Oryzias latipes: one gene and its partner. The protein of the gene in region 2 purifies or fractionates together with the protein of the main gene of each other region. This does not show direct contact. Links are inferred from orthologs where the notes say so. Each region holds a gene or a part of one and is shown on either strand. Other genes may lie near its edges. The genes, in order: pabpc4 and mkrn1.

The links.
Region 1: the proteins of mkrn1 (region 2) and pabpc4 purify together in Homo sapiens (affinity purification with mass spectrometry; 3 studies listed by BioGRID and IntAct, with this or other methods). This does not show direct contact. The link is inferred for Oryzias latipes from reciprocal best matches to the Homo sapiens genes MKRN1 and PABPC4.

The regions. Positions count from the first base shown.
Region 1 is NC_019880.2:16,801,763-16,805,583, forward strand, and holds part of pabpc4 (polyadenylate-binding protein 4), read right to left. Parts: intron 3,752-3,821; coding exon 3,482-3,751; intron 2,108-3,481; coding exon 2,017-2,107; intron 1,912-2,016; coding exon 1,816-1,911; intron 1,742-1,815; coding exon 1,611-1,741; intron 1,533-1,610; coding exon 1,442-1,532; intron 670-1,441; coding exon 539-669; intron 473-538; coding exon 365-472; 3' UTR 334-364; intron 253-333; 3' UTR 1-252.
Region 2 is NC_019881.2:11,673,110-11,677,570, forward strand, and holds the start of mkrn1 (E3 ubiquitin-protein ligase makorin-1), read right to left. Parts: upstream 2,997-4,461; 5' UTR 2,813-2,996; coding exon 2,745-2,812; intron 1-2,744. UniProt on the Homo sapiens protein: E3 ubiquitin ligase catalyzing the covalent attachment of ubiquitin moieties onto substrate proteins. These substrates include FILIP1, p53/TP53, CDKN1A and TERT.

The DNA of each region.
Region 1 (3,821 bases), on a different chromosome or scaffold from region 2:
TTTCCTATCAGTTTGGTTTTTTTAATGAAAATGACGTCCCTCTTTTGCCACTGAAAGAGAGTTTGTATTCAAGATAAATTTGCATTCTGATCTTGGTATTCAGTTAAAAATTATTATGGAGTTACAAAATGATCCACTTTAAGGATTTTTAAAATATTCAAGTACTTTGCAAAATTGAAAGTATTTTCCTTGGTTTTCATCATGTTTGAAGGATTTTGTAGTGTGTTCCTGTTCACCTCAGCTCGTTTACCTCTGAAAAGACACAATGATTCATTATTACTACAGCAAAATCACAAATGCTTGAAACAGCAAGTATTACTGTTATTTATATACTTGTTAACCAGGTGTTTACGCCATCCGGTCTTCAGGAATTAGCAGAAGCAGCAGCAGTGGCAGTAACCATGCCTGCCACTTTCTGGGTTGCATCTTTTTTGGCTTGGTGAGCTTGCAGCACAGCAACAGCTTCCTCCACCTGATCAAAGACACTGTTTTAGCGTGAGTGCGTATTTTGACATTTTTAGCGCGTGAAAAAAAGCACCTTTGATTGCAGGGATTCGTGGGACTCCAGCATGTGCAGCAGCTCAGAGTTGTCGATCTCCAGCAGCATGCCGGTTATCTTTCCTGCCAGGTTGGCGTGCATTGCCTGGATCAGTGGGAAGAGACGCTCCCCTGTTCAGAAATAGACCACAGTGAATGCCTGAGAACTCAAGAAAGGCAAAAAGTTTACAGAGCTTGCATGTTCAAGCACTTTCAATAAAAAGTCCATGTAAATGCATGTTTCAGGCTTATGCGTTCAAAACTCTCGCGTTCACGTGACACTACCCAAGTTTTTAAGTCAGTTTTCGGGCTCTACGTACAAAATGTGGACCATTGAATGTGCATCGAAAATTAAACCAGTAAAACTTTGACCAATCAGGGACTCGGATGTGGAGTAGCGTCCATTATAATTCACGGAAGTGCCAACAGTTTGAAAATTGATCATGGAGGAGAAATTAATGGTTGCGGTTTGTGTCCGGCGGAAATCATAGGACACCAAGTCTTTCATCTATTGGAATAGAGATGTGAAAGAAAAAGCCTGGATACACAAGATAAGCAGCTGGGTAGCTCGGTTGGTAAGGTGAAAGATTACCACACAGGGTTCGATTCCTGGAGGGGAATGAACAATGGTAATGGGGGAATTACCATATCAACATCCCTTTAAGCCCTTAACGCTACTCCCGAGTGGGATGGGTCAACTGCGGAGAACAATTTCCCCATTGTGGGATAAATAAAGTAACAATTATTATTATGATATGCTTTGGCATTTCGCACCAAGCCTCTTCCAATTGTAGGTACATGCACTAGCACAGGTTAGTCCAGTGTGAACATCATGGGCTAAAAGCGTGTTCAAGAATCCACATCATGTGTCAAATGCCCAGTGTGTACATAGCACAGAACTCACCAAGCATCTGCTTCTGCTCTTGAGGGGGTGCAGCAGCGAGCATAGAGGCTGTAAGTGGCTCTTGGCCCTGAATGTGGACAGCAGGCTGAGCCTTGAAGAAACAAAAACATTGGTTTATAGAGGATAAGTCTGATTGATATTCAATATTTCAGGACAATAATATAAATACCTGCTGTAGGGCAATAGGCTGCACCACCTGGGGATTTGGGTTGCGGACACTGGTGGCGTATTTGTAAGGAGACATAGTTCGGGGACCAGGTACTCCCATTGATGGACGAGGGGCCATGGACTGCCCGGATGCTAGCAGCAAACAGGAAAACTAAGATACAAGTCATAACTCTTTTTTAAATCTAGTCTAATCTATACAAACACACCTCTTGGGCCCTGAGAGCCGCCGCTGGGAGACATGTGCCTCATGTTGCCGCGAGGTCCTGGCTGACGCAGCGAGCTGGGCATGCCCTGGAAACCACCTGAGAGCGATGAAAGCCCAGAAGGAAAACAGATTTCATCATACCAATAAAATGTTTTTTTTCTTTTCTTACAGAAAGATGCAGCATCATGTGCTTCACTTTCACCTTGACCTCTTCCACCTTGTTGCTGCCATCGGGGGTTGGGTCGCATCTGGGCCAGCTGATTGGGTGCATAGTATGTCGTTCTGTTCTGGGCCTTATGGGAAAGAAAGTGGAATACATTAAGGAGCAGCAATAAACTGAACTGTGGGTCAGAGGGACTTTGTATCAACCATTCTCTACACAACATGCTGTGTGAGGAAAGAAGTTAAGGTATGACATTCCTCTCGCGGAGGTGTTTTACAGCCATGTCTCAGTCATTCCACACTTACTGTGCAGTTACTAATATGTTCTCTAGTTTTTCTCATTTATCTGTCTCTTAATTATTTTATTAACTGATTTATTTAAATTTTATTGTTGTAAGCTGTTGGACAGTTAAATTTCACTGCTTGGTGTCAATAAGGTTTTGGTACGTTGGTACCAGTTGGTACAGTGGGTCTAAATCTAAACTTAATTGGATTTATTTTTACCAATGATGAGAAATCTTTTTTTTTAATTTTAAAAATCTGTACAAAAATATTTGCACTATCTTACTTTTTAATTTATATTTTACTTAATTTCTACCACCTGCTCTTGAACAACTGTCCATTTTCACATTTTTATTGAGTCTGTGTTCTGTTTGATTCTGTTATATAAACCTAAATGCATAAAATCTAATAGAAGATCCAAATTGACTGTTATTTCCTGTTATATTTACAGTATTTACAATGTGAAATATGCAAGCTGTTATGCATGCCTCATTTCCAACTTTTTAAAGTGATGTTTAAAAAAACCCATCCCAGTCATCTTTTGATCTATTGTAAAAGTGTTCCCAGTGGTCTTTTGATTATGATTATGCCATTTTTAGCCAGATTAAAAAAAATCTCAGTCGCTTTCTAGGACATAGTTTCTGCAGAACGGCAGTAGTTCATTAGAAATTCACCTCTGAATTGTGGGGGGGACTGTTGGCACATGATACTGTGCAACAAAAATGGCGAGCAATTTCTGAGGTATCCAGATTTGGAATTTTCAGCCAGATGCCAGCTCGAACAAGGAAGACAAAGACGTGCATGGATTTCGTCGTGTACAAGTGCATGTATTGGAATGGAGCAAAGCAGGGAGCTTGTGGCCTGCCGATTGTGGCACTATGTCACAGCTGCATGCTTTTTCACCTGCTCCTAATTCACAACTATTTGAATACAGAAATAGTCAGAAATGCAATTTTAAGCTTAATTCTTTTTTCTATGTATGTCCTCCATCATCAGAAAAATGCTACAAGAATATGTTAAAAACACCAAAAAAAAACATTTTTATTGGAGTGGACTGTCATTCTTACCAAGTTTGAGCTAAAGTGCTAGTCTGCTACTATGAAACCATTTTCATGATAATATTTAACAGGTATTTTGTCAGCTTTGTTTTCTCAGTAGTTGTCTGCATCATGCAACCCCTATTAAAAAAGGTCCTCCACCAAGTTTGATTTTGGTTCTCACACCTGTGGCACAGCTGGCATGAAGTAGCCAGATGTTGGCTGGAATTGATTAATGATGGCATTTGGAGGCATGGCCCTCATGCCAGCTATACGCTGCATGTACTGGTTCGTGAGGTGGGCCTTGCGCTCTTCTTTACGCTGAGCCAGAGCCACATAGAGCGGTTTGGAGCCAACAATACGTCCATTCATCTCAGTTACAGCTTTGGTGGCTTCTTCAGGGGAGGAGAAGCAGACAAAACCGAAACCCTTCGAACGACCGTCTTCTAGCATCACCTAGAACACAGGCAGATGGAAGTGACATAACTCTAATGTTCTTATCCAGTTATTGAGAATTTCTAACTCA
Region 2 (4,461 bases):
CCTTGTGCTGTACCTCTAAAAAGGTTAAACCCAACATAAAGTGGAAAGAGAAAACATTACCAAACTTTACATCAACTGCAGCTATAATGCCTCCTGAAAATAGACCTTACTAAATGCTAATTTAGCTGAAAAGACTTTAATATTATTTTTACTAACACTAACAAAAATAAATAGATGAATTACTTTGAGGTCAATTGGATGATTTTTGCAAAATGTCAGACAAGAAAGCCAAATGATCAGAATGTGTCATGTGAAGGATGGGCAATAAAATGATAAAACATATTTCGATATAACTTTCTCAATAGAATGAGTCTATCAAAATAGACTCACTATAGATTAAAAGTTAGCGGGTTAATCATCACATGACAAGTTAATGTTTGCATAAACTTAGTCGTTTCAATTTGGTAAATTTCTTGTTTCTCCTTTCCTCCTCTACAGCCTGCACGAGAGTGAAACAAGCACATGAGGTCACTTCACCTGTGTAGCTTTCAGTTTTGAGTGATGAAACAGCGGAATATGCAGTGATTTTTACCAGGATCCAGTCAGAACTGGAGGATAAAAAGCTGCTTCACTTACAGCAGCAACAATCAGATGAATAAAACGTGTTGATATGGAGACCGCGCTGTTATTAGACGCTAATGCTATGATGCTATGCTAACGAGCTGTTCCCTCTGTCACTTAAATGTAAACACTGACGGTTTAAAATCGGACAATATTTTCACAGACCGGCCGTTAAGACGTGACGGATCAATACAACAAAATTAATTCATTGGACATGAATAAAAAACTGCATTTTTATAAATAACACAATTGTGTTTTAGCAGCGTGTTTGTTGCATTACAGTTTTTTGTGTGACCTGTGACCTGTCAGGTGTGAATCCCCCTGCCCCTCTTCCTCGTGACACACCTGCAGCTTTAATGTCAATGATATAATAACAATAATAAAACATTATACTGTTTTCAGGCCGTTTTTGTAATGACTTTATATAAAATACAATGGAAGCAGAACTAGGACATCTCTATTGAATCTGTCCTTGTTTTCTCAGCATTTTTGAATTTGAGTTTACAGTTAGATTTATGAGAAAGTCAAGATATTTACACCAAGCGACGACAATTTGGATTGGATTCATCATTTGCCCTTTAAAGCCAGTTTTTAGACTGTAGGAGAAAAACTAAGAACCTGGAGAACAGGTTGGGTTACACCTGAAGGAGGGGGAATATGCAAACCCTGCACAGAAACAAACCAGCTGGGATTTGAACCCTGAGAGGCAAGAGTGATAACCACTACACCCCTGTGCAGCCCCCAGAACATTTCATGTATTTCTAAAAAAAATAAAAAAATCTAAAACCTTTGTTATTAGATCATCTTTTGATCTATTTTAAAGTGTTCCCAGTGCTCTTTTGTGATTTTTTTTAAAACAAAATTCCCCAAAATCTGTGTCATATTCTAGGACATAGTTTCTGAAGAACAGGAGGAGCTTATTGGAAATTCACCTGCGAGTAGTGGGCACAACTGTAGGTGTGGTAAGCCTGCACTCATTTCCCATGATCCCTTTGTTTACAACTCTCTCCAGCTAGACTACAGCCCCTCACACCCCCAACCTAACATTAGCGGTGCAACAAAAATGGATTTCTCCAAATTTTGATCCAGATTCCAACTCAGATGAGGAAAACAAAGACGTTCATGGATCTATTAGTCTGCAGGTGGATGCATCAGAATGGAGTGGAGCAGGGAGCTTGTGCTGGTTGTAGTTTCTACAAAAAACTACAATCTTTTTCAAACTGCTCTTTTTTTCCTCGTTTGCTCCCATTTCCCAATGATTTGAATAAAGAACTAACCAGAAATGAAACGTTTAGTCATAATTTTCTTTAAATGTGTCCTTTATCATCAGAAAAATGCTACAAAAACATTTCCATTGGAGTGGGTCGTGCTCAGTGTTCAAACTGTGTAAACTTTGAACCAGCTGAAAGTTTCCTTCCAGCTGTATTATTATTAACACTGCTCTATTCATTTTCAATAGAAACCAGTGTTCTATTTTGGAACCAAAAGTAAAGGAACATCAGCAGCAAGATGCTGAAAACAGGAAGAAAAACAATCAGAAGAGGAGTCTCGTTTGAAATGCTGTCGTTCAGCAGAGTCTGGACGACCTGATCATGTGGATCTGGACCGGACCGGACAGACAGACCTGTCGGTTCTCCTGCCCTGACCCGGTGATCGGTGAACGACCTGAACTAAATGTTTTCAGTTTTGACGGAGGAGCAGATCCATATGGAGGAATAATCTGCTGACTTGTCGCACTTTCCCCGCAGCACTTGAGCCGAGCTGCTCCTCTGGAGCTCAAACACACAGGCCGACAACCAGCGGGGCTGACGCCGGGGACGGAATTCGGAGGGGACCCCGCAACAGAGCCAGGAAGCCGGCAGGACGCTTCCGTTCAAATTAAAAGCTAAAACGGGGTTAAGTTTGGTCGTAGTTCGAGGGGCCGGTGTCGTGTGTGTGACCCGGGTTGTCGGTGAGATCCTGACCGCGTCGCTCGCGCAGACGGCGGTGAGTCGCCTCGGAGCTGCGCTAACGCAGAGCAAGTCAGCAACGGAGGAATCTGGTGACGTTAACACAGCTAAGCTAACAGTAACACGGACACAGGCGTCAGCCGGCCGGCCGCGCGCCCCGAAGCCCCGCTTCTCTGTGGCCCAACAACACCCCAGGCCCCCTGGACACTATATCGCGGGGTTACGGTGGCTCACCGGCAGGTTACGTGTTTGGTCCAACCTCCTGTTACCGCCGCCGTAGACGCTGCTGCTGCCTCCGCCATTTCTGTTTATGTTGAGGAGCCCCAGCCGGATGTTCCGGACAGGTCCGCCTCAACTCGGCTATTTCCGTCACACACATTTCAAAACGAACCTTTCCGAGAGTCTGTTTACACGACTGTCGTATGTCCCGGATATCTAACGTTCTCTCTTGTTATTTTATGTATGTACTTTTTTATCTAAAGCGGTTCTTTGTTTTGCTTTTAGAATTTTTTGAATATGATTTTTTTTAAACTCGAGTTCCAAATGTCCAAAAAAAAAACAAAACAAAAAAAAAAACAAAGACATGGAAAAGATTTAGAAGACCTATATCATGCAAAATCAACTTCTTACATTCTTGCACTGATAGCTGTTATTAGCATGGTCTTGCTAATCCTATTTTTTTATCATTATATTTTGCTGTCATGCATGGTATTCAAGTTACAAATTGACCAATCAGATGCCTCAATAAAAGTAGATGGCGTCATGTCAAGCATTTGAAGTGTTTGATTGACAGATTATCCCCAGTTCGGTTTCAGTGGGAGGAGTGTGGCCTTCTAACATGCTCACTCCTGACTCAGGGAGTGGTTGCCATGGAAATGTAGACAAACCAATCACGGCTTACTGAGGACGTAAGGGTTCCAACACGGCAACAGACATGTCACGGAAAAATGTCCATTGAATTGACTTAAACTATTTGGACCCGGAAGCAAAGCAATTTCTTGGGTGATGTCACACGCACTTCGTTCACTTATGTATTATATAATGGTTCTCACACTTTGACGTCACAAAGTGAGGAACAGTCCCTCCAGAAAGAGTCTGTGCTGCCAGCTCCGCCTCCAGGTTAACACACACCCGCTTCCTCTGCAGAGCTAGCAGTGATTGGCGATAAGCGTTCCTTTTGTATGCAAAATATGCAAATCCATCAATGCAAAAGTTTGGATGTTGATCATTTTTGTGGGTGAAATGCAGACCATTTCACATCGAGGCCAGCTCTCGATTGACATCATGAAATAGGCGGCAACCACAAGGAAAGGAGGCAGAGCCTCAGAGATTGTTGCGTTTCACTTCCGGTTAAGAAATTTGCTGCAAAAACAACTAATATTTCATTTTAAAAAAATCCTTCTTTAATGTGCCAAAGGTGATATATGATCATATATATCAGATGTGGCGAACAAGTTTGACACCAAGAGCCAAATTCTTTCACTGTGAGAGTCAAAGAGCCACACCAGGCACTGACCTGCCACGACGTACACACACAAACACACAATTAAAGCCGTATTATTTTCCATAAAACATTCCTCTCCCTACAAAACAACAGCAAGTATTGTACTTGTGTTTATTTCAAGGAAAGTGTCCACCCTCAATACACACATTAAATGCAGCTTAGCCAAAGTTAACACAGCGACTACCCTGGAGGTCAGATACCCCCTCCACACACACTCTCTCTCTCTCTCTCACCCTTTTCTCTCCCTCTCTAACACACACAACTACTCAGTGACGTGCAGTGAGGTTGATGGTTGGCAGATTTACGATGATAAAAACTGAATGTTTCACTGTTCATCCAACAGTTTTTAACTGGTAATTCTTTGTATCTCAACATTCCTCTTTCACTAGCTGCATGATTACATGGACAAAAGTAATCAGAAAGAACGCCTGATCGGAAGAAAAATGC